Linked DNA regions of Danio rerio. The protein of the gene in region 3 purifies or fractionates together with the protein of the main gene of each other region. This does not show direct contact. Links are inferred from orthologs where the notes say so. Each region holds a gene or a part of one and is shown on either strand. Other genes may lie near its edges.

Region 1 (4,090 bases), on a different chromosome or scaffold from region 3:
TAAATTGCCCATAGTGTATGAGTGTGTGTGCGAATGTGTGTGGATGTTTCCCAGAGATGGGTTGAGGCCGCTGCGTAAAAACTTGCTGGATAAGTTGGCGGTTCATTCCGCTGTGGCGACCCTGGATTAATAAAGGGACTAAACCGACAAGAAAATGAATAAATGAATGAAGACAGCAGAGGTCAGTGACTCATTGAATTATTCAACCTGACATGTTTACTGCTCCAAAATATATTAAATACTTCTCAAATTAAGATATATTGTATTCAAAGGGAAACTTTTAGTTTTTTACTCAGACATTTAAAAAGAATATATTTTAGAGCAGTAATCACTATCCCATGAAACTGTGGTATCTTTATCCAAGGTTATTATACCGCCAGAATCTTATACCGACCAATGCCTATAGTTAACTAGAACTAATCAACTAACCTACCACTAACAACAACACAAATATTGTAATAGAGCAGCTTTACTTTCTCTCAATCAGTTCACAAATGTAACTTTGGTTACTAGTTAGCTATGACTAACCAACCCAACACTAATACATGTTTATTATCAGATATTCACAATGAACAAGTGGCCAAATAAACAAGCTGCATTACATCCTCTAAATCAGTGAGTTCACAAAGGACACTTTGACTACTAGCCATAACTAGTACTAACTAACCCATGTTTATTATCAGATATTCACAATGAACCTGTGGCCATTATTGTGATACATTTGCTAAATCAATGAGATCATTAAGGCGACACTGACTACTAGTTTTCTAGCACTAACCAACCCACCCCTAAACAGGTTTATTATCAGATATTCACAATCAACAAGCAGCCAAACAAACAACATTTTGAGCAGTATTACTTACTCTATATAAGGAGACTTTAACAGGTTAACTAGAACGAACCAACCCACCTATTACCAAACATGCTTATTATTAATATTATTATGATTATTATTATTATTATAAAACATTCACAATGAAACACAAATATTGTAATGGAGTAGCTTTACTTTCTCTAAATCAGTTCACTAACATGGCTTTGGTTACTAGTTAGCTACCACAAACCAACTAACCTACAACTAAACATGTTTATCATCAGATATTCACAATGAATCAGTGGCCAAATAAACAACACAAATATTGTAATAGAGTAGCTTTACAAAAGTACCTTTGGTTACTAGTTAGCTAGCACTAACCAACCCAACACTAATACATGTTTATTATCAAATATTCACAATGAACCTGTGGTCATTATTGTGATAGAGTAGCTTTACATTTGCCAAATTAGTGAGTTGATTAAGGTGGCTACTAGTTTTTTAGCACTAACCAACCCACCCCTAAACAGGTTTATCATCAGATATTCACAATGAATCAGTGGCAACAGCACAAAAATTGTAATAGAGTAGCTTTACTTTCTCTAAACCAGTTCAAAAAGGTGGCTTTGGTTACTAGTTAGCTAGCATTAAACAACCCAACACTAATACATGTTTATTATCATATATACACAATGAACAAGTGGCTAAATAAACAAGCAGCATTACTCACGCTAAATCAGTGAGTTCACAAAGGTAATTATGACTACTAGCCATAACTAGCTCTAACCCACCCCTAAATATGTTCATTATCAGACATTCACAATAAACCAGAGGGCAAACAAACAACATAAATATTGTGACAAAGTATCTTTACTTTTGCTAAATCAGTGAGTTCGTAATAGAGTTCATTGACTACTAGTTATCTAGCACTAACCAACCCACTCTAAACATGAGTATTATCATCAGACATTCACAATGAACAAGTGGCCAAATAAACAAGCAGCATTACTCACGCTAAATCAGTGCGTTCACAAAGGTGATTATGACTACTAGCCATAACTAGCACTAACCCACCCCAAAATATGTTCCTTATCAGACATTCACAATAAACCAGTGGGCAAACAACATAAATATTGTGACAAAGTACCTTTACTTTTGCTAAATCAAAGAGTTAATAATGGCGTTCATTGACTACTAGTTATCTAGCACTAACCAACCCACTCTAAACATGAGTATTATCATCAGACATTCACAATGAACAAGTGACCAAATAAAGAGTATAGATATACTTTGAGTAGCTTTACCTGTGCTAAATCAGTGAGTCCATGAAGGAGATGAGTTTATAACCAGAACTAGCCAACACACCCCTAAACAGGTTTATCGTCAGATGTCCACAATGAACAAGCAGCCACATAATACAAATATCACGTTAGTGCATCTTTACTTTCGCTACGTCAGTTAACGTTAGCTCACACAGGCGATGAAGTTTACTAGCTACTAACTAGCATTAACCAACCCACACAGAACTTAGCAGTTAACGTTACCAGGAAAAGTAACATAAGTTAACGTAACCTTGTCAACAAGCCACTTTCCGCGTATCGCGTGATCTCTGAGGACTTTTTGACAAGTATTTGAAAGTGTTTTTGTTTGTTTGTGTACACACACACACACACACACACACACACACACACACACACACACACACCTGTAGGCCGCGATACGTCAGCTCTGCAGCCTTGTAATGGTTGTCGTGTTTGATTCTCGTGACCCGTTTACCGACCTGAGCCCCGGAGACAGGGGACCGATCGATTCTCAGCCGAAACCGAGAGTAAAAGTTTAGCGGCGGGACTTTCCCTTCCGCGCGACACCGCAAACCCCCCGTTGGCGCCGTTCACATGCAGAAACCCGGCATTAAAGCTCGACTTACCGTCCATGTCGCGGGTCTCCACAGCTCTCGGTCACTTTTTAACGTTTCCGGGCGACGGTGAAAAATAAACGACACACCGCGACAACACTTTCCTTCCGCGCGCCTCCGCGGGACTACAGCAGGCGCGCTCCCGTGGGCGGAAATACCCGGATGACGCGATTCATCATCACCAACACGACTGCTGAGAACACACGCGCACTGTAGATTAGCTTATGGGCAGTATTTAGCAATACAAACTTATTTGTCGACCAAAATCAATGTCAAATGAAGATATGGACTCAGATGTCTTGTTACATATTCACTGTTTTTGGAATAATATACTGTATTTGGTGACAAATAATGAGAATACTTTTGGCTTCTTCACTAAGAAAAGTCTGACATAATCATCTAACTTATATTCAACTATCTAGTAAACTATCCAGGCCTGTAGCCAGGGCGGTTCAGAAGACCCAGCCCTAAATGACTAGGGTCCAGAATTTGTCAAATACAGTTGAAGTCAGAATTATTCGCCCCCTATTTATTTTTTCCCCCCAATTTCTGTGTAACAGAGAGCAGATTTCTCCAACATATCTCTAATCATATAGCTTTAATAACTCATCTCTAATAACTGATTTGTTTTCTCTTTATCATAATGACAGTGAATTTGACTAGATATTCTTCAAGACACTTCTATACAGCTTAATGTGACATGTAAACAAATCAGACTTTCTCCAGAAGAATAAAATATTATCAGACATACTGTGAACATTTCCTGAATCTGTTCAACATCATCTGGGAAATATTTAAAAAAGAAAACAGATGCAAAGCCCTGCTAAAAAATCCAGCTTAAACCAGCCTAGGCTGGTTGGCTGGTTTTAGCTGGTCTACCAGGTTGTTTTAGAGGGGTTTTGGCCACTTCCAGGCTGGTTTCCAGCCATTTCCAGCCTGATCTTAGCTGGTCAGGCTGGAAAATGACCAGCCAAATCCAGCAAAAACCAGCTTGACCAGCCTGGTTTAAGCTGGATATAGCTGGTTTTGGCTGGACTCCCAGCTTGGCTAGGCTGGTCAAGCTGGTTTTAGCTGGTCATCTCCCAGCCTGAGCAGCTAAGACCTGGCTGGAAATGGGTGGAAACCAGCCTGGAAGTGGCCAAAACCCCTCTTAAACCAGCCTGGTCGACCAGCCTAGACTGGTTTAGGCTGGATTTGTCAGCAGGGAGGGTGCTTATAATTTTGACTTCAACTGTATTGCTGGCAATGCGAATCAGACTCCTACTCTGTTCATACAGGGATGAGAGACAGCCCTAAAATAAATATTTTTGGTACATCAAAAAGTGTGGTTATAATGACCACCCAACAAGCTAATCCAGCTA
Region 2 (3,500 bases), on a different chromosome or scaffold from region 3:
AAAGGTAAATTGCATCATAACAAACTACCTCAAGACATGGGCGATTTATAATTGCAGCAAACTGTTTGCAAGCATCAAAAGGGTCCAAGAAGATGTCCAAAATCTTTACACGCATTGACCCAGAGACTGTTTAGATGCATGTCACTGATGAGAAGATGACAGATGTTTACTGTATGATGATCGAAATAGCCTTAAACACCCAGCTGGCACAAGACGTCAAAATGACATTAGATTGACGTTGTACCCCAACGTCGTGGAGACGTTACATTTTGTTTGGAATTGAAAATCGGGTTGACGTCAGAACTCAAAGTCAGACCGATGCCAATGTCCAACATACAACCAAAAATCAACCAAATATCAACGCCAAATGATGTTACTGTCACGGTATGGGGGTGATGAAGAGGAGGCGAGGACCCAAATGCAGGGAATGAAGAGTTTAATGAAAAATAAAACAAAAACAAAACTCAAATCTCCCCATGTGGGGAAAAACACAACATATTACACACTCAACTAGACAAGGTCTGGAACTTGACAAGACAATACATTAAACCACTGTTGTAGACTAGAAATCAGCAGATACAACAGAGAAGGGAACAATCAATAACGGACCAGCACGGAACAGAGCACACTAGGAGAATAAATAGGAAAGACAAACCAATAAACAGACAGGCGGACAGGTGAAAATAATAATTACAAACAAGGTAACAAGGTGGGTGGGACAAGACAATAGACGGGAGAGCGCATGACACAGAGAGACAATACAAGCCATGCGCTCACACAACACAACACTGAAGCACACGACAAAAGCACGTGACCACAATGTAAACACCGAGCCACGTGCTTTGACAAAAGACGCAAGACACGAGCACACGATGAATGAAAGCACTCACCGTGCGCGCACACACACGCAGCGTGCATGCTTCATCCCAGCGCCGACCAAAACCGAAACCAACAAGACTGAGACGCTGGGAATGAAACACCACGCTGCTGACAAACGAAAACACAAACACGAGTACAAGAGCGCACGCGTCTGAGTGACGCAGAGCGCGCGCGCGGCCGCGTCAAGCAGGAACGCGCACACTCTACGTACACCCATGACGGCGCGCGCTCACACAGAGACAGAAACAGGACCCGACATGAGAAGTGTCAGAGCTCTGCCACCAAAACAAGAATTTACAAGACCAAAGTGGCAGAACCCTGACAGTTACAGTTTGACGTTGTGTGGACGTTACCACTATGACGTCTATCAGATGTTGGATTTGGTTGCCATACCTGATGAATAAATGTCAGTATTTGACGTCAATATGAAGCTAGTTTTAAGGGGTGGTCCAGAATGTAATTTTAAGGCTTAATTGTGTTTATAAGATGCAAAGCAATGTGTGCTCATGTTTCACTTGAAGGAAATCGCGTTATTTTTTCATATATCTCACTTTGATTATACACAGCTACTCAGCTAACATGAAAATGACTGTCAAATTTCCTAGTTCCTCTGAAAGGCCTGCCCTTAAGTGACTCTGATTGGTCATCGTCATAATGTGCTGCTATTCGCGGATTGGCTCCACGTCACGCCCATGAAAGCATGCGCTTTTCTGCTGTGTAAACAATCATTCAACCACCTGCCTGCTCACTAAAATAAAATCTGACAAGTGTCTGTAACGAGTGAAAATTGGGTGCAGCTCCTTAAAGAGACCTTGTCTTTGTGTGTGTCTATGTGTGTGTGTGTGTGTGTGTGAGTGAATGTTGTCTGCGTCTATGTGTGTGTGAGTGTGAGTGAATGTGTGAACTTTCTGTAACAAGCGCATGTGCACGGGAGTTTTTTTTTCTTTTTCTCTGATGCTCGGATTAAGTTATTTTCTATAATATATCGTGACAGAAGAATAAAGCACAAGATGTGTGAGCCTTGATTTATTATTCTGCTGCTACCACGAGTCAGGTAAGCTAACCTGTATTTTTTTAACTCTATGCTTTACAAGACGGCTTTCATATATATCCGGAATATGCAGGTGTAAGTAATATGAATCATCTACATATCTTTTGCGACTTCATTATCTGAGATGTGAAAAACATGGAAAAACTGCCTGAAGACAATCAATGCAAAGTCGCGCACACACATAAGAGTCACGAACGTGCTGGTGGAGTGTGTGTGTGTGTTTACAGCAGTTTGACTGATAAATATGAATTTGTAGCTAAATCGTTTGCCCGCAAAGCAGCATTTCGCATTGTTTACATCGTTGCTACAGCGTACCGTTAACGCTATACACTGTACATGTCATGATCAATTTTAACAAATAAAAACACTTACAGGTTGTAGCTCACAGCTTCTGCTTTGAGGAGATTTTCTGCTTTTGCGCCTTACCTGCGCAGTTTGTATGCACAGTAAACGAACCTTTGTGATCTCACAGGGGGTGGAAGTATTTTTTGTAGTCCCCAAAATTTGTTCATTGTAGGCTTAACTCCGTAAAAATCAAGGTCTCCCTTTGCATTAAATTGAGAACTTTTTACATTCAGAGATGTTGTTTATATTCACACAGCTACATTACACATCAACTAAAGTTTAAAATATGATATCATAGTGGACCACCCCTTTAAGTTGTTGGCTCAATGTTTTTGTTCACTTCCTAAACCCTAAAATCAATCAAATATCAACGTCATTTGACGTCATTCATCCTTGGACTTCAAAATAACGTTCCTAGATGCTGGCTAACCATTAAATTTAGGTCACAATCTAAATCTAACCTAATATTAACGTCTTATGACGTTCTGTGCCTGCTGGGCAATAACTAAATGCACTACAGAATATTACGTTTACACACATCCACAAATTAAATGGTACTCACTACTCGAGTACTTTTAAAAGGGCTACTTTTTACTCATACTTAGAGTAATATTTACAACAGATACTTTATCTCTACTTGCACTACATCTACTTGCACTACTTTAATTTATCTAAGTATGATTTTTTTTCAGTACTCTTTCCACCACTGCATTTCTTAATATTATCAAAGTTGAAAACAATGAATATTTTCTTGAAGAATTTGTGAACTTTTTTTCATGATTCATTTCAAACTAAATATAAAATTGATTGATATAGAAACATTTTTTAAAATTATACATTTCTTGGTCACTTTGTCAATTTAGTGCATAAATATAAGTAATGGTTCTTTAAAAAATAATAATAAATTGCAGACCCAGATCTTTGAAAGGCACTTGTTTTGCATTTGCAGCTACTGTAATTGCTTGTCTGAAGGAAAAATGTGTTTCTTTCAGGCTTGGTTTGATTTACTCACCTGTTTAAGGTGCACAACAATTCCACTCTTCTCGACCATGGGGTTTTTCTTATAATGCTCTACTAAATCTGCTAAGGTGTCAAACCTCTCCCCTCCTCCTACATCATATTTTCCATCCTGGTAAAAGACATAAAAAAATTTTTTTTTTTTAAATAGACATTTATTTTAATCTTCTTTTTTTTCCTTAAGGAAATAGTGAAATGTTACCCTGTT
Region 3 (4,116 bases):
GTTTTAAGGCCTTAAACTTGGATTTTGAGATGTAAGATAGTTTTTATGACCCTGCAGAAACCCTGTTAATGAGTTTTGTTCTAAAACACGGTTTTTAGGTATATGAAAGGGCTGCACAAAATTGGGAAAAAAAACCTGACATTGCGATATTTTGTTTTTCAGCAATTTTCAGATTTTTCAGATTTTAAGATTTTATTACAATTTGTCAGCTGACTTAAAATTGGAAATACTTCATAACTTTAGTTTGATTGGGATGATTTTTAGTAGAAACACTCCTTCTAAAATATCTTCATGAAATACAATAAACAAATCACAAGCATAATTAAATACAACGCTGCAAAGATAAAACTGAAACAAACAGAGCTTTATGCTTTTTTTTCTGAGTTGTGTTCCATATTCAGACACAAATTATCAAATAATCAAATGTAAAATAAGACCATTAAATTCACCATAAACTATTTAATACGATTAATCTATCATAAAGCTACAAATATTATAATTTCTTGGTCTCAATTTATTTAAACTACAGTCAGCTCTTTGCGATATCAATGATGAAATGATATATTGTGCAGCCCCAATAATATCTAAGGTAATAGTAAATGACAAATTTAGTAAGTGTCTTTTGTAAATCATTAAAATGCATGATAGCAATTTTATTTATCAATGTTTGATAGCAAATTTTTTTTTATTCATTCATTCATTTTCTTTTCAGCTTAGTCCCTTTATTAATCAGGGGTCACCACAGCTTAATGAACCCACAACTTATCCAGCATATGTTTTACGCAGCACATGCCCTTGCAGACATAACTCAAAACTGGGAAGCACTCATACACACTTATTCACTACAGCCAATTTAGCTTATGTAATTCACCTATAGCGCATGTCTTTGAACTGTGGGGGAAACTGGAGCACCCAGAGGAAACCCACACAAACACGGGGAGAAGATGCAAACTTCAAACAGAAATGCCAACTGACCCAGCCGGGGCTCAAACTAGCAACCTTCTTGCTGTTAGGCGATCATGCTAAACACTGCGCCACCTTGACACCCCCAAATTATTTTTGCCTCTGAAAAAAAAAAACATTAAAGGGATACCCAAACACTCTGTAATCATTTACTCTCCCTCGTGTGGTTTTAAAACATGATGAGTTTCTTTCATCTGTTGGAAACAAAAGAAGATATTTTGAAGAATGCTGGTTGCTACGACCCCCTAAAATCCACAGTATTTTTTACTATGGAAGAGAATGGGTGCCAGCAAAAAGCATTCTTCAAAATATCTTTCTTTTTTGTTCAACAGTTGAAGAAATCTTAAACAGGCTTTAAACTAGTAAATGAAGAATTTTAAGGTGAACTGTCCCTTTAAGGACACTCTCTTGAGATACGGAGAAAAACTGCCAATCAGAGTGCACCAGTGTCTAACGTGTGCACATCTCTCGTCGGTGGGAACTGTGAAACTGGTTTCATTTGTCGAGTAAAGCAAAACTCGGCGAGGCGACATGAAAGCCAGAAGCGAGACTGCAGTGGCCGAGCAAAAGCGCGCGCGCAGGTCGGTCTCCATCACCTCTTACTCGAGGATTCCCTCGCCATGTACTGGAAGAGTGACGTCATGGGGCAGAGGTGGGGAATACCCGTGGAGGCAAAAAAAAAAAAACAACAAAAAAGATACCTATCCAACCAATGCAAGTACGAAAGCTGCCAGATTGGCATACAATGCGCTTTTTATGCTGAATCGGTGGCGCAAATCCAAGCCAGATTATTAAACAATAATGAGAAGTGAAATCAAGAGACTTTTTGTACTATAGGTGGTTCTAGTACTGCTAAACAGCTTGTTGTCTATTAATTTTGGTTGATATTTATTATTATTATGAACACGTACTTATTTTGCAAGTGTATGCAAGTACTTCATCACGAGGTGCAATATTGTAAATATAAATGCCAGTAAAATTGACTTATGAGAATTATGCCTTTTTAACACTTGTCTCTTTCTTTTTATTTGCTCCATTTCAATGTTTTTTTCTCTCTCTTTTTAATTGCTCAATTTCATTGTCTTTTTTTTTTTTGCTCCACCAGCATCTATCTGATACACTTTTCCACTATTATACCCTGCCAATCATGCAGATAAAGCGTTGTTGACCGACTCTGAGAGGATGAATGGATTCCAATGACAAGAAATGGCATCTATAAGCGTAAAATGACACAAACAAACAAAATCTGCATTGAGGAAAAAAACAACTACAACAGATCAAGTGAAGAAGAAATAAACTCTACAAACATTCATTCAAGCAAACTTAATGATTCTTAATACTTCTGTCACGTCTACTGAATCGACATCATACTAAAACGAGTTTGTTTGTTACACATGTAACAAGTATCAACTGTTGTCTAGTCAGGTCACAGTATCTTTTAGCTTCATTTAACAGCCAAGTGGAAACAATGTGTACATTATTTCCGTCACGAGAAATCAATCTAGCGGTTTAACGTTATAACATAATTCAAACATCAACACAAGCAGAACCACCTGACAACAGAAAGCAATGTACACAACAGAAACATCCCCAAAAATTGCGTCAAACTGCGTTTTCCTTTAAAAAAGCGACGTGGCTGGACAACTTACCCCTTAATGTGTCGCTCAAGGTTTCAGATAAATCGTCCTCCACGGAAACAAGCGCAGTCAACACGTTATTGACTACAAAAACAAGCGTTTTAGAGACGATATGCTATCGTAAAACGAGCTTTTCCAACTTTTCTGACACTGCAAACACGCGAGCTACGGTGGTCTGTGCGAAAATGGGCTGCACGTTTGCGGTTCCGCTTTGATTGACATGTCTCTGACGCAGTCGCGAGCGAGTTTAGAATTCTGTCCAATCGCTGAGCTCGAATGGCGCAGAAGAGGCGGGACTAAGCGCGCGCCAGCTCGAGGCCGCCTGTGTTTGTTGCTCTGGCTGTGCAGGCTGTTCCGGCTGCCGGTTCCTCCCGTGTAAAACCGTGTTGTGATACGCAGCACAGCGGGGGGAAATCCAGCTTCTGGAACAGCACGGCTGGAAGTCATCTGAATTACTGGCAGCGCCTACGTCATCTGGACTTTTAATTCAGTGGATGTGAAGTGTGTGCTGTCGTGACGTTTGGCGTCATCAATGCGTCTCTTTATATAACTTTGTGCACCTATTCAGCATAGTGATAATTGAAAAGCCATTAAAACTGTCCAACTGTGCTCTAGTTTCAATATTTTTGATTAATGTAAATGTCTTGCTTATTTGTATTTGTAAGAATGTTAGTTAATTACTTATACTTTTGTTTTTTATGTTTGTTTTGTTTATTTATGTTATGTATTGTTGTTATCATTTACTTTCTATCACCATGTATATCATCATGTATCTGTTGTTTAAAGCATAATAAATAGAATAATAACGAAATATATATATATATATATATATATATATATATATATATATATATATATATATATATATATATATATATATATATATTTTGTAACTTTGTGCACGTTTAAGTGTGTGAACACAAAATAAAACATGTTTTAATCATCATTTCATATCAAGTTAGAGTAAGTATAGTGTAAAATAATGTCTTATTTATTTCTAAGAATATCAAGTTTAAAAAGTCAACTATGTTAGAAACTTTGACTTTACAAATAACTTTGTAAACTTTGAGCAAACAAATAAACAGTTTCTTGGCTGGACTATAGCTTTGTAAATGAAGACGTCTGGTTTAGTCAATAGCTGCACATCTTTTTGCATTTATGATTAAAAGGTTTGTGTGTATATGTTTATTTTTTATTTGCTTTTTTTATTATATTATAATTTTTATTATTTCAAAACTGATATGTGCAGCTACCATGGTATTTTTGACCACACATATTGAAATAAAACTCCCCTCTGATTTTCCCGAAGAAAATAAAAAATAATTTAATTATATTGTTACTTTTAGTTTAAAAATTGATCTTCCAGGTATACGACTGTATTTTTAACCGCAGATATCGTAATAAAAACCCCTCTGAAATTCCCAAAGGACACCCATGTCGAATTAACTTTCTGTTATAATCAAGCGGCTTTTTTTATTTTATTTTTTTTACAATATTCTGGCTAATCTTTTGATCC
Region 4 (3,500 bases), on a different chromosome or scaffold from region 3:
TATTGTCAACATTGTGATTTTCAATAGTCAAAATGAGGGACTTACATTTGCGTTCTGGAGTTCCAGCACTCTGGTGGTATAATATGACTTCACGTCTTCTGACACTAGTGTTACCACAAAACGCGTGTCACGAAAAGACATCTCTCTCTCTTCTTGTGTCGGCCAATATTGTGCACACTTTTCCTTCATAACAAAATTTAGAAAGAGATTAATAACACTGCCTCAAATGTTTAATCATTTGAAATATGATGACTAATATTCCAAAGTAAATTATTACATGCAATTAAATAAGTAAAGCAAGCAAAACACTTGGATTAACGCTGAATGAAAGATGTGTGTTAGTTATAGCTTTCTTTAAACAACTTTTTGTTCTTAAAGCCTAATATAGACTTGCTGTTTACAGTAAATACCTCTATATATAAAGAAAATATATTGCTTTCTGAGATACTGAACAAAATGCTCAGTTTAATGTAGGGCCTGATGAAATGTAATTTTTCTAAAATAGTTTTAGAATAGTTCACTCAAAAATGAAAACTGCCTCACTATTCACTCCCTTTTTATAAAGGTTTTAAACCTTTATGTGTTTCTTTGTTCTGTTGAAAATTGAAAATCGTGGATAACCATAATAGGAAAAACAAATACCATGGAAGTCAATGGTTACCGGTTTCCAATGTACTTCAGAATAACTTCTTTTGTGTTCAACAAAACAAAGAAACTCAGAAAGGTTTGGAACAAGTAAAGAGAAAGTAAATACTGACAATTTTCATTTTTGGGTGAACAGTCACATTAAACAGTACTTTTGTGGCTTAATATTAAGACAATAGTCTCAAATGTTTCAATATCATACTTAAATACAGTTCTTGCATAATTTATTTTAATTTGCTTTTACCTGAATATATATATATATATATATATATATATATATATATATATATATATATATATATATATATATATATATATATATATAATTTTTTTTTTTTTTTTTTTAAACAGCATTGTTGTGTGCTTTTGTATAAAAAATAGATTTTCAATTTTACTTATTTTATTTCAGTTAGTTTTCTATAATTTTTATTTATTTATTTATTTGACATGGACATCACAATTACACTGGACAACCAAATGCATTTGTTTAAGTGTTTTAGCAAACTTGCTAATTCTCAACACCTGTCCACAGGAGGCTTGACAAAATGGAAATATAATAAATAAATATACACAACATTATAATTCTTCACATTAAATTACTGAAGGCAAAGCAAAGACGACATGATCCAACAAACTAACAGTAGACTATTTGTGCAAACACTGCTGTTTTGTTTTTAACCACTTTTTAAAAACACCATTAAAAATATTTATATTACTTTCTGATTTTCTGATAAATGCTATAGTTTCAGCCAACAATAACACTACATGTTCTAGACCTCTATTATTCCTTCATGTGGTTCTACTTGAAACATACTCCCATATACCTGCAGAGACTCTATGGAGCTCTGTAATACATACTTAGAGAAAGACTTTGTGTTTGTTTTAAAAGCATGGAGGCTAAACAATCTTAGAGTAGTGCTTTTAAATAGAAAAGGATCTATTCTTACCGAGCCTTTCTCTATTACTCTATTAAGCATGATGACTGCTTTGGTCTTCTGTTCCCAGATCATCAGCCAAAAGTGACCACAGGTGTTTCTCAGAGGACCCTGACAATAAAGAAACACAGTCCAGTTTGACAATAAGTAGGGTTTGATCGCAATGCTCAAAAGAATCTGACTTATGTAACAGCTCCCAAGAAATGTGAACCCAAAACCAGCCTAATTCTTCAGGCAGATTAGTTTACCGTTCACAGAGTGAACCCTAGTTGATTTCATAAACATGTAGTCTTACACTTCTCTACAAATGCTATGCAAAATCAACACCACAAAGTCTGACACACCTACACATTTGTTAAAAATAAAGATCAAACCAAAGCCATGTTTCATATGGCTGACTAATGTATTTGTGAGCTTCTGTATGCTACCCACACAACTTTGTATCAGAGGTGTAAACCTGCCACCTGCCTACAGCGTTCTATAGTAACATCAGCATAAAATAACTGTCAGTGCTGAAATTAAGGAAAGCAAAGGTTGTGGAACAGAAGGGTTACAATAAGGTTTTATTAAGATTAATATTAAGGTTTGCAAAATCGTTTGCGTGTGTCTGAGCACAGCTTTCCCTGTAGGTTAGTCTACTGAAAATATCTTTACAAGAAAAGTGCCTGCTTGAGGCAAATTAGTCGCAACATCAAAACAAAACCTTTCTAACACTAAAAACAAGTCCTATGACTGTTTTCTTTCTTGACTCTTCATATTTGTATTCATACAGCTAGCATTAGCATTAGTGTAAAGGTGTTAGTCAAACATTCATATGATTTCTGCATGCAAAACAGCATGAAATATCTCAAATTATTTCTCAAGTTTTGGCAGAGCATTTAAAAGAACATGTAAGATTTAACTGAAGTGAACTGCAGAAGTAAAAGTAATACCACAGTGAACAAACCCATACAGTGACAATAGTTTCCTTAATAATAATAATTGAACAGGCATTGGCAAACTTAAAAAAATATATAATTTAGGATTAAATATTCAATACATATTTTATTCAATATGTGGATATAATAAAATCAGTTTATATAGTACAATACACACAAATTAGTGATTAGATTAGATTCTTCCGCAATAATCATAACAGATATAGGCAAAGGCAATAAACTGTGTGGATACTAGTAAAATCTTTACAACATTCTATTTAGAAATAATCTAATCTTATAATAAATCTACTTAGGAATTAAATGTAAATAAATAAACTGCTTGCCCTACAAACCAGTCTGTTTATGACTATACATTAAAAAGAAAATACGATAGGAAAATACCAGAATAATAAAGAGCTGTTTGATATGATCAAATTCAATGGAAGTGAATGAGACCAGAAGTCTCACATAGGGATGCAGAATTATTATTATTTTTGGCTGAAAGAGAAAAACTGCCAAAAATATGAGCCGAAAAACTGTGCAGTGATCAGGGCACTGATTTTACTCTCCCCCCAGCTGTAGTCACTGCGCATTTTGAAGCAAGTTAAATCACACCACATGTAAAAAGCACTCAGAAACCTATTCATTTCAATGGCTTGCTCTACACAAGAGTGATTCAGAGTGAACCACCAATTAGCTTGTACAAGTGCAGTCAAGTTTAAGATTAAGTTAAGTTTAATATTGTGCACTGTATAATCCGCTCATGTACATGTATATCTCTCATCAGGATGAATCTCTCATGACAGGACATTTCTATGATATATACATGTTCCTGCTGTTTGCAGTACGCTACTGTGCTGTCAAAGCAATGCTGGTAAAATGATGATTCTCCACTGTCAACAAAATTTAATTATTTTATTGGCTTATGTGTTTTTTTTTAAATTAGTATAATTTAAATAGTTCTAAATTTAAATAGTCTTACAAAATTAGTTTGTTATATAAT
Region 5 (3,937 bases), on a different chromosome or scaffold from region 3:
TCACCTGTACCACATGTCTTTGGACTGTGGAGGAAACCCACGCGAACACAGGGAGAACATGCAAACTCCACACAGAAACTAAACCGAGGTTCAAACCAGCGACTTTCTTGCTGTGAGGCGACAGCACTACCTACTGCGCCACTGCCTCGCCAAATTTAACAATAATAAATGTATACTGGAGTGCATGTTATGTCTGCGGACAGCTTTCCCTGTCAATGCCTATGAATGGTACTTAAATTAGGGATGCAACGATTAACAGATTTCACCATGGTAAATTAATCGTAAGGCTTCTCAACATCACATTTCTGCACGTAACAAAACTGCTGCAACAACTTTTACGCCAACTGTGCATTTGTATAAAGTTTCAAACTTGTACACCATACGCACACTGGATTAAAGGCTGACTTAATCTATGGCGAAGGCTATTAATTTAGGGCCGTTCACAATATCATGAATTTTGCGTTCTGAGAGTCACATGACAAGAACTGCACTGATAAGCTGTATACTTTGTATGAAAAATAAATGAAAATACCAAACATGTTTGTAAAATAGTTGATCAAAAGTGCCGTTCAGACAGGATCAGCAGCCTTTGACTAGATTTTTTTTGTCTTTAAAAGGGAAATACTTGGATGATATGATGCTTAGATTTACGTTAGACAAAAACTTTTGTTTAAAATGACTCTTTTTATGTATTTATGCATTGTTCTGTCATTTGTTTTCAGTGTAAAATTATTTGTTTAAATGTTTAAATAAACACTTTTCACTTATTTTTACTTCAAAATAAAAACAAACAGTTTATTTCTTTCTTTGGGTTTCTGAGCAGCAATAAACAACACTTTTTAACAACATTCCCATCCGTATGCAAAACTTAAAGGAAACCAAGTCTTAGCAGCTTTTTTAATTACAAGTGTCTAGTAAATGTCATTAAATTACAATTTAATTAAACTGCATTCACCTAAAACGGTGCTTTTAAAAAATAATTCAAATCTTTTTGGCAATTTTTTGAAGAAAACCAATAGATTTCAGAATTATTTGGAGAAGTGATGAAAAATGCATAATGCTAATAAAACTAAGGCTATAGTGATTGTGGAGACAGAACTGAAGACTCATTTGCATGACATTTATATATAAACAATAAATTGTTCAACTGTGGGAGAATTAAAATGTCTTCATATAAAATCGACTACCTAAAATAAACCCGCCATGATAATGTACTTAAGGAAAGTGTTCACGATCCCCACTCTCTACTCACACAGGGCTTATTTTTCCATTATAATGCATATGAATATTAATAAAGACAATCTTGATGCATAAATGAAGTAAAGCATGTTGACAGTTTTTACAGACGCTAGGACACATTTCTCAATACTTGGGTCACTTCTGCAAAACTCTTCACACAATTCTCCAGACCGACTTTCAGCTTGGCAAAGCAGTTCATTTCACATTCAAAACGCTCCACGACTACCAAAACACTGTATTCAGCTCTCAAATAAACTCATTCCTCCAGAACACCAGCAAAGGAGGACAGCCCACAAACACACTCTGTCACCCACAAAACAATAAGCTAAACACACTAACAACAATGTGTAGCATTACACTGAGTGTTCTGGTGTAAAACAAGGACACATCTCAGTTCATAACTGCAATATATGTTGCTGGAATGAATCAGACATGATGCAGAATATTTTAAGTTGTTTATTTATTTGTATTTTATTTTAAGCAATTCCCCTGCTAAAAAATCCAGCTTAAACCAGCATAGGATGGTTGGCTGGTTTTAGAGGGGCTTTGGCCACATCCAGGCTGGTTTCTAGCCTGGTCTTAGCTGGTCAGGTTGGAAAATGACCAGCTAAAACCAACTTGACCATCCTGGTTTAAGCTGGACATAGCTGGTTTTGGCTAAGCTGGTCAAGCTGGTTTTATCTGGTCATTTCCCAGCCTGACCAGCTAAAACTAGACTGGAAATGGCTGGAAACCAGCCTGGAAATGATCAAAACCCCTCTAAAACCAGGCTCAACTAGCTAAAACCAGCCAACCATCCTAGGCTGGTTTAAGCTGGATTTTTCAGCAGGGTCCAAAATACAAGTATTTGTGTACACACCATCCACTGATATAGAGACAATAGTATAATATAATATGATAATATATATATATATATATATATATATATATATATATATATATATATATATATATATATATATATATATATATATATATAATATAATATACAATAGTTATGCTAATCTGGCTGGTTAAACTGCATTTCTAGATGTGAAATGTGTCTCGATAAAATGTTTCTGTTGAATTTTGTTGTCTTATTCAGTTTTGCATGATGTTATTGTTTTGAACATCAGTTCTGAAAACAGTATAAGCATGTGCAAAATGTCCTGTAAGTACACAGAGTTTTGTCAGTTGTGTCTGTGTGAGATATGGGCATTGAATGCAGTTTGTGCCAAAACTATGAGGATAGATCCTCAGTTTAGCCCACTGAGACTTCTGTTGTGCTTCACTCTGTCAAGAGTTTAGCAAAAGTGTCCCAACTATTGAGAAATGTGTCCTAGCGCCTGTAAAAGTGCATTTACACACGTAATAACAAGTATGAAAAGTTCAGACGACATCACTAAAACTACCTCCAGCAACAGTTGTTGAGCCGCTTCACTGCCTGTAAAATATGATAATCAGAGGACATGAAACAGATGTTAACTCTAGCGTGTTAATGTTTATTAAACACAAACAAGCGCAAACTTACCGAGTCAAACCGAAATACAAACACTTCCCACGCATGCGCACAAACTCAACTTCCCACCAATCACATCTCTTGATTTTACGTCTTGAATGCAACACGCTGCGTCTTGAGACGGAAAATGTGATTGGTGGGAAGTTGTGGTTGAAATTCGCCCTGAAAACTCAGATGAACAGTGATCAGTCCGCTGTATTTGAGTTTATAATCTCGAAAAAGTTTCCGAGGTAAGTGACTCAACCGAAATGGTAGGAAAGGGAAGAGTTTAAAGCTTCATAAAATGATTAATTGACTGGAATCGGTTGAATCACGGCACACGGGCGACACCTGCAGTTCACAACAGTTAAAACAGGGCTGCCAGAACACGCGCCAAACAGGTGTCGAGAAACGCACCCCTGCCGTGAAAATGCACCGCTTTCATTAGGTTTCTCAACAGTAAATAAAATCAAAGGCCACGATTGATTAAATTGCAGATATCCAACACTGGCCACACCCGTTCATGACACCCGTTGACGCCAGAATTGAACATTTTGCCGGGCTCTGCAACGTGCACTCGTCTCACCTATATATATATATATAATTTTAATTAATTATTAACAGTTGATTTGTTTGTAATTGTAAATTTGTTGCAACTATAAGTACAACAAATGACCAGTAATTAATGGTTTAAAAATAATATGTTGCTTACAATGAATTACTATAGTATTTAATGTGGGAAATCATTAATAAAAACGATATTAGACAAAATAAAATACTATTAAATGGCTTGAGTGAAATATTAATAGTGTTATGCATTTGTTACACGTAGAAAGATTTTTATTACATATAAAATGTTTCATGTATTATTTTTATTACATATTTAATGTATTATTTTTATTACATATTGAATTTATTATTAACAATAGCATATTAACTTGCTATTATTTCCCTTATTATAAATGAATCCATTATATAAATCAAACCTGTCCAATTTAAATCAAGACATACAGCAATCGAGTATCTGCTATAGACTCCGACAGTTCATAATTAATGACGGATCATCTATGATGACTGATAGAAAGCTGATCAGTCTGTTATATTGAATGGCAATAAACAACACTCCCCATTCGCCCTTCTCGATTGCAGTATTTGTGAAATTGTAAACACTTTTGCTTATTGTTAATAGTATTTATTAACACTATATACAAATATAAATTG
Region 6 (3,500 bases), on a different chromosome or scaffold from region 3:
ACAAGTCATGCCAATAAAGCTCATTTGAATTAGAATTTGATTTTGGGAGAGAGTGAGACAAACAATATGTAGTTAAAATCTTAAATAAAAAGTTACCTGGGTGGAAAAAGGTGTCTTTGCTTCGGTATCAATAGCAAACAGTTTCTCAACCAGGTCGAGTTTAAATTCAGAACTGATGTCTGGTTCCACTGGGAAACCGTAATCCATGGGGCTGTTGGGCTAAGATTGACAAAAAAAAACAACCTAAAGTCAGTGACAGTATCTCATTAACCATTACAAGGGAGCAATTGTTGTTAAATGACCAAGAATAGCAAGCGTTTAATAAGTGTTTACCCCCGAAGAGCCGAGTCCAGATGTGGAGGGTGTGTTTGTGGGGTCTGGCACACGATCAGAGGCAGAGCTGAAAGGGAAGTCCTCTCCTCCAGTCTCTAGTTTGGTCAGAGCTGGGATGGAGTCGCTGGGTGTGAGAGGAGATAGGCTGAGTGGCAGCTTCTCACTGCTGGAAGGCAGCATGACATCATTGTAGAGGGGCACCTCCTTCAGCAGCTGTATGTCAGAATCTGGAGGGAAATGGATACCGGTAATTATTATTGGTAGACCACCAAGGAACTGTGTGTATTTAATATTAGATTTACTTCAGTAAAATTATGAAAGCACATTTCCTGTAATCTCAGATGATTAGTGAATGACAAGAGTTGTTAGTCTTCATAAGATAAAAAGCTGCCAGGGGATTGCATTTAATCCTCTAAAGCAGTGTTTCTCAACTATGTGCCTGGAGGACCACCAACACTGCATGTTTTGGTTATCTACATTGTCTGTCACACCCATTATAGGCCTTTCAGTCTCAGGGAAAATGTGCAGAGCTGGTGGTCTACCAGGAATGTGGTTGAGAAACACTGCTCTAAAGATACACACTCTTGAAATGTTTATGGTCAGTAATACAGAGTTCACACCAATTGCAAGTTGAAGTATTCACATGAGTAGATTACATCCAAATTCAATGCAAAATTCTGTTAAACATAAAAGATGACTTTAGCAGAGTATAGGAAGTTGGTAGCCATTAGCTATGTAACAAACCTAGATTATCGCATAAAATGTGTGTATAAAGCAGCGTTTCCATCAAAGCGAACAAAATAGTCATTTCCTGATTAACTGGCACCAAATATCAACCAAAAAAAAAAACGAACTTGCTGGAGTAGAAGAAGCTGTGTCAATCTTCTCTTCATCTAATAAATGATTTGCACCTTAGAAGGCAATCCTGACACGCAATGAATGCGCAGTGGCGTTTGAAGGTGTGAGACACGAAGCACAGACGCTCTTGATTCTGGAGGTCATTAATAATATAATAACACTAATACTTAAACGGTAAGGCAATTTAGAATGACCAAAACAACATTTCAGCTGTTTTATATTGTGCTCAGCCAGCTGGTTTGTCCATTTACAAACATTTTCATCACATGATCTCTTATAACAGAATCACATGACCATTTTTAATGCTCATAATGAAATTTGTGCGGTAAAAGTGTTTTCATCGTAGTTTACACTTCTTTTCTTATCGAATAACAAGTTTATCCTACTCAGTTAAGCGCATAAGTTCATGCGCATTTTCAAAATGTATGCGCATCGTGGCGTTTCCATCAATCGTTTTTTTTTTTTTTTTTTTTAAATAGGTGGATCGAAGCATAGCTACTGACTTACATTGTAGGAAAATAAATACCGTTTAAGTCAAATGATACTAGTTTCCATCATTCAATAAAGAAACAAACATTTTTTTCTTCCATTCAGCATGCGGTATGAACTTCCATTACAACAACTCTTCCAGCAGTTCATAGTTGCATCCAACATCTCGTTTGTCATCGGGGGCATGCACGAATGAAAGTGAAAGTGCCAAACCGCAGTTAAAGTTGACAAATTAACAATAAAACACCCGAAATTACATGAAACTTCGGAGGAAATGCGGATAATGCGGTGACGCAATGACGGTAATCTAAGTATGTGCTATAACATGTAAAATGTGATCATGAAAGAAACTTTCAAAAAGCAACTCATGTAAACGCCTTTATCTTATTATTGTAGATTAAGGCAAATAATTCGATTACTGATGTCCATGTAAACATAGTCAGTGAAGTCTCTTACGTTGCAACAGAAATTTATTCTCTAAATAGACGTGCATTTGAACTTTCTACTCATTAAAACATTACAATTTTCAACAATGACTACAATAAATATTTCTTGAGCGAAAATCTGCATCTTAGAAATGACTTCCAAAGAATCCTGTTAAACTCTAAAAGCATACATCCCTGTTCATACATCCCCCAAATTACACTTTAAAGGTTTGTTTATGTTTAATGCCATGCCAGGTTCTTTGGTTATTTTCATGGCGAGAAAATATCAACTGACTGCAGTAAAGCTTAAGTATTTTTTCATTTATTGCTAAAATCTCTTAAACCATATTCGGTTTAACAGTGATAAAAATGTATTCAAAAGTAGCATAGTGGAACTAAATAAAAAAATGTCTCAAAGAATTAAAGCCAACACAAACTGTGTTGAGAGAGAACATGCTTCACAGATAAAGTGCTTTTGCAAAGACAACAGATTGGAGGATCTACTCCTACAGGTGAAAAACATACTGGGAGTATCTATAATTGTACTAAAAAACTGCGTGTCATCTTTGATTGACCCATTCTACAGTGGGTATAAACAACTTGATTCCACCAGTTAGAAATTTTAAGGTTTCTTTATCAATATTGGGGCTAATTTCACAGAGTTCACTTTAACTGTAAAAAATTAAAACTATAGACTAGAAGTGTTAATAAACATTGCAGGAATGTCCCTTAAGACTAATCTAGATGTGAATATATAAAAAGATATGTGCATCTTTGCTCATGGATCTTTTAATAAGCTCTCATTGAAACTGAATGAATTTAGGTGGCTTCCAGTTACTCTCAAATTACTGAAAAAATGTACCCATCCAGCAAGAATTACCTGAGTTGTTGAAGTCCAGAGAGATAATGGCGTCGCCTGCTGCAGGTGCCAACACAGTGAGGGCCTCTGGCTCCTCTTTCAGCTTATTATAAAGTGTAGAGCTTTCCAATGAGCAATTGAGGCTTTCTGGCTTGAAGAGCTTGAGAATATCCAATTCAGAGGTCTTTTCCTCAGTCTCCTCACTTTCTTTCTCAACAGCCTTGGGCTCAGTCACGGTCTGCTGCAAGGACAGGACTACATCCCCCTCTACAATGCCACTGGATAAGACAGAGTAGTAAAGTTGAAAATATGAGTTAATTAGCATTTATGCATACATTTTACATAGAAACGCACAATATATCATTTCAGAATCAATATCACAAGTGAATCCACAATAGTTCTATTGCAGGACCTGCAATGTCAAATTAGGATTATAGTTGACCAGGAACCACAGGAGTTTTCAAATACATGATTTGTAAAGTCATTGCTAATTTGAACTTTAAAGGTACAAAAAGTTTAACATTTGTATGTTTTTA

What was found.
Region 1: the proteins of stat3 (region 3) and rela purify together in Homo sapiens (affinity purification with western blotting; 5 studies listed by BioGRID and IntAct, with this or other methods). This does not show direct contact. The link is inferred for Danio rerio from reciprocal best matches to the Homo sapiens genes STAT3 and RELA.
Region 2: the proteins of stat3 (region 3) and ptpn11b purify together in Homo sapiens (affinity purification with western blotting; 3 studies listed by BioGRID). This does not show direct contact. The link is inferred for Danio rerio from reciprocal best matches to the Homo sapiens genes STAT3 and PTPN11.
Region 4: the proteins of stat3 (region 3) and ptpn2b purify together in Homo sapiens (affinity purification with western blotting; 7 studies listed by BioGRID). This does not show direct contact. The link is inferred for Danio rerio from reciprocal best matches to the Homo sapiens genes STAT3 and PTPN2.
Region 5: the proteins of stat3 (region 3) and trim59 purify together in Homo sapiens (affinity purification with western blotting; 4 studies listed by BioGRID). This does not show direct contact. The link is inferred for Danio rerio from reciprocal best matches to the Homo sapiens genes STAT3 and TRIM59.
Region 6: the proteins of stat3 (region 3) and hif1ab purify together in Homo sapiens (affinity purification with western blotting; 4 studies listed by BioGRID). This does not show direct contact. The link is inferred for Danio rerio from reciprocal best matches to the Homo sapiens genes STAT3 and HIF1A.

Annotation. Positions count from the first base shown.
Region 1 is NC_133182.1:1,094,741-1,098,830, forward strand, and holds the start of rela (transcription factor p65), read right to left. Parts: upstream 2,801-4,090; 5' UTR 2,749-2,800; coding exon 2,742-2,748; exon of another isoform or gene 2,520-2,741; intron 1-2,519. UniProt on the Homo sapiens protein: NF-kappa-B is a pleiotropic transcription factor present in almost all cell types and is the endpoint of a series of signal transduction events that are initiated by a vast array of stimuli related to many biological processes such as inflammation, immunity, differentiation, cell growth, tumorigenesis and apoptosis.
Region 2 is NC_133198.1:26,914,107-26,917,606, reverse strand, and holds part of ptpn11b (tyrosine-protein phosphatase non-receptor type 11b), read right to left. Parts: intron 3,405-3,500; coding exon 3,288-3,404; intron 1-3,287. UniProt on the Homo sapiens protein: Acts downstream of various receptor and cytoplasmic protein tyrosine kinases to participate in the signal transduction from the cell surface to the nucleus. Positively regulates MAPK signal transduction pathway. Dephosphorylates GAB1, ARHGAP35 and EGFR.
Region 3 is NC_133178.1:15,703,926-15,708,041, reverse strand, and holds the start of stat3 (signal transducer and activator of transcription 3), read right to left. Parts: upstream 2,801-4,116; 5' UTR 2,613-2,800; intron 1-2,612. UniProt on the Homo sapiens protein: Signal transducer and transcription activator that mediates cellular responses to interleukins, KITLG/SCF, LEP and other growth factors. Once activated, recruits coactivators, such as NCOA1 or MED1, to the promoter region of the target gene.
Region 4 is NC_133194.1:13,490,921-13,494,420, forward strand, and holds part of ptpn2b (tyrosine-protein phosphatase non-receptor type 2), read right to left. Parts: intron 1,692-3,500; coding exon 1,593-1,691; intron 184-1,592; coding exon 46-183; intron 1-45. UniProt on the Homo sapiens protein: Non-receptor type tyrosine-specific phosphatase that dephosphorylates receptor protein tyrosine kinases including INSR, EGFR, CSF1R, PDGFR.
Region 5 is NC_133190.1:1,620,635-1,624,571, forward strand, and holds the start of trim59 (tripartite motif-containing protein 59), read right to left. Parts: upstream 2,801-3,937; 5' UTR 2,785-2,800; coding exon of another isoform or gene 2,750-2,784; 5' UTR 2,690-2,749; coding exon 2,631-2,689; intron 1-2,630. UniProt on the Homo sapiens protein: E3 ubiquitin ligase involved in different processes such as development and immune response. Serves as a negative regulator for innate immune signaling pathways by suppressing RLR-induced activation of IRF3/7 and NF-kappa-B via interaction with adapter ECSIT.
Region 6 is NC_133195.1:22,873,867-22,877,366, forward strand, and holds part of hif1ab (hypoxia inducible factor 1 subunit alpha b), read right to left. Parts: intron 3,243-3,500; coding exon 2,986-3,242; intron 561-2,985; coding exon 334-560; intron 220-333; coding exon 97-219; intron 1-96.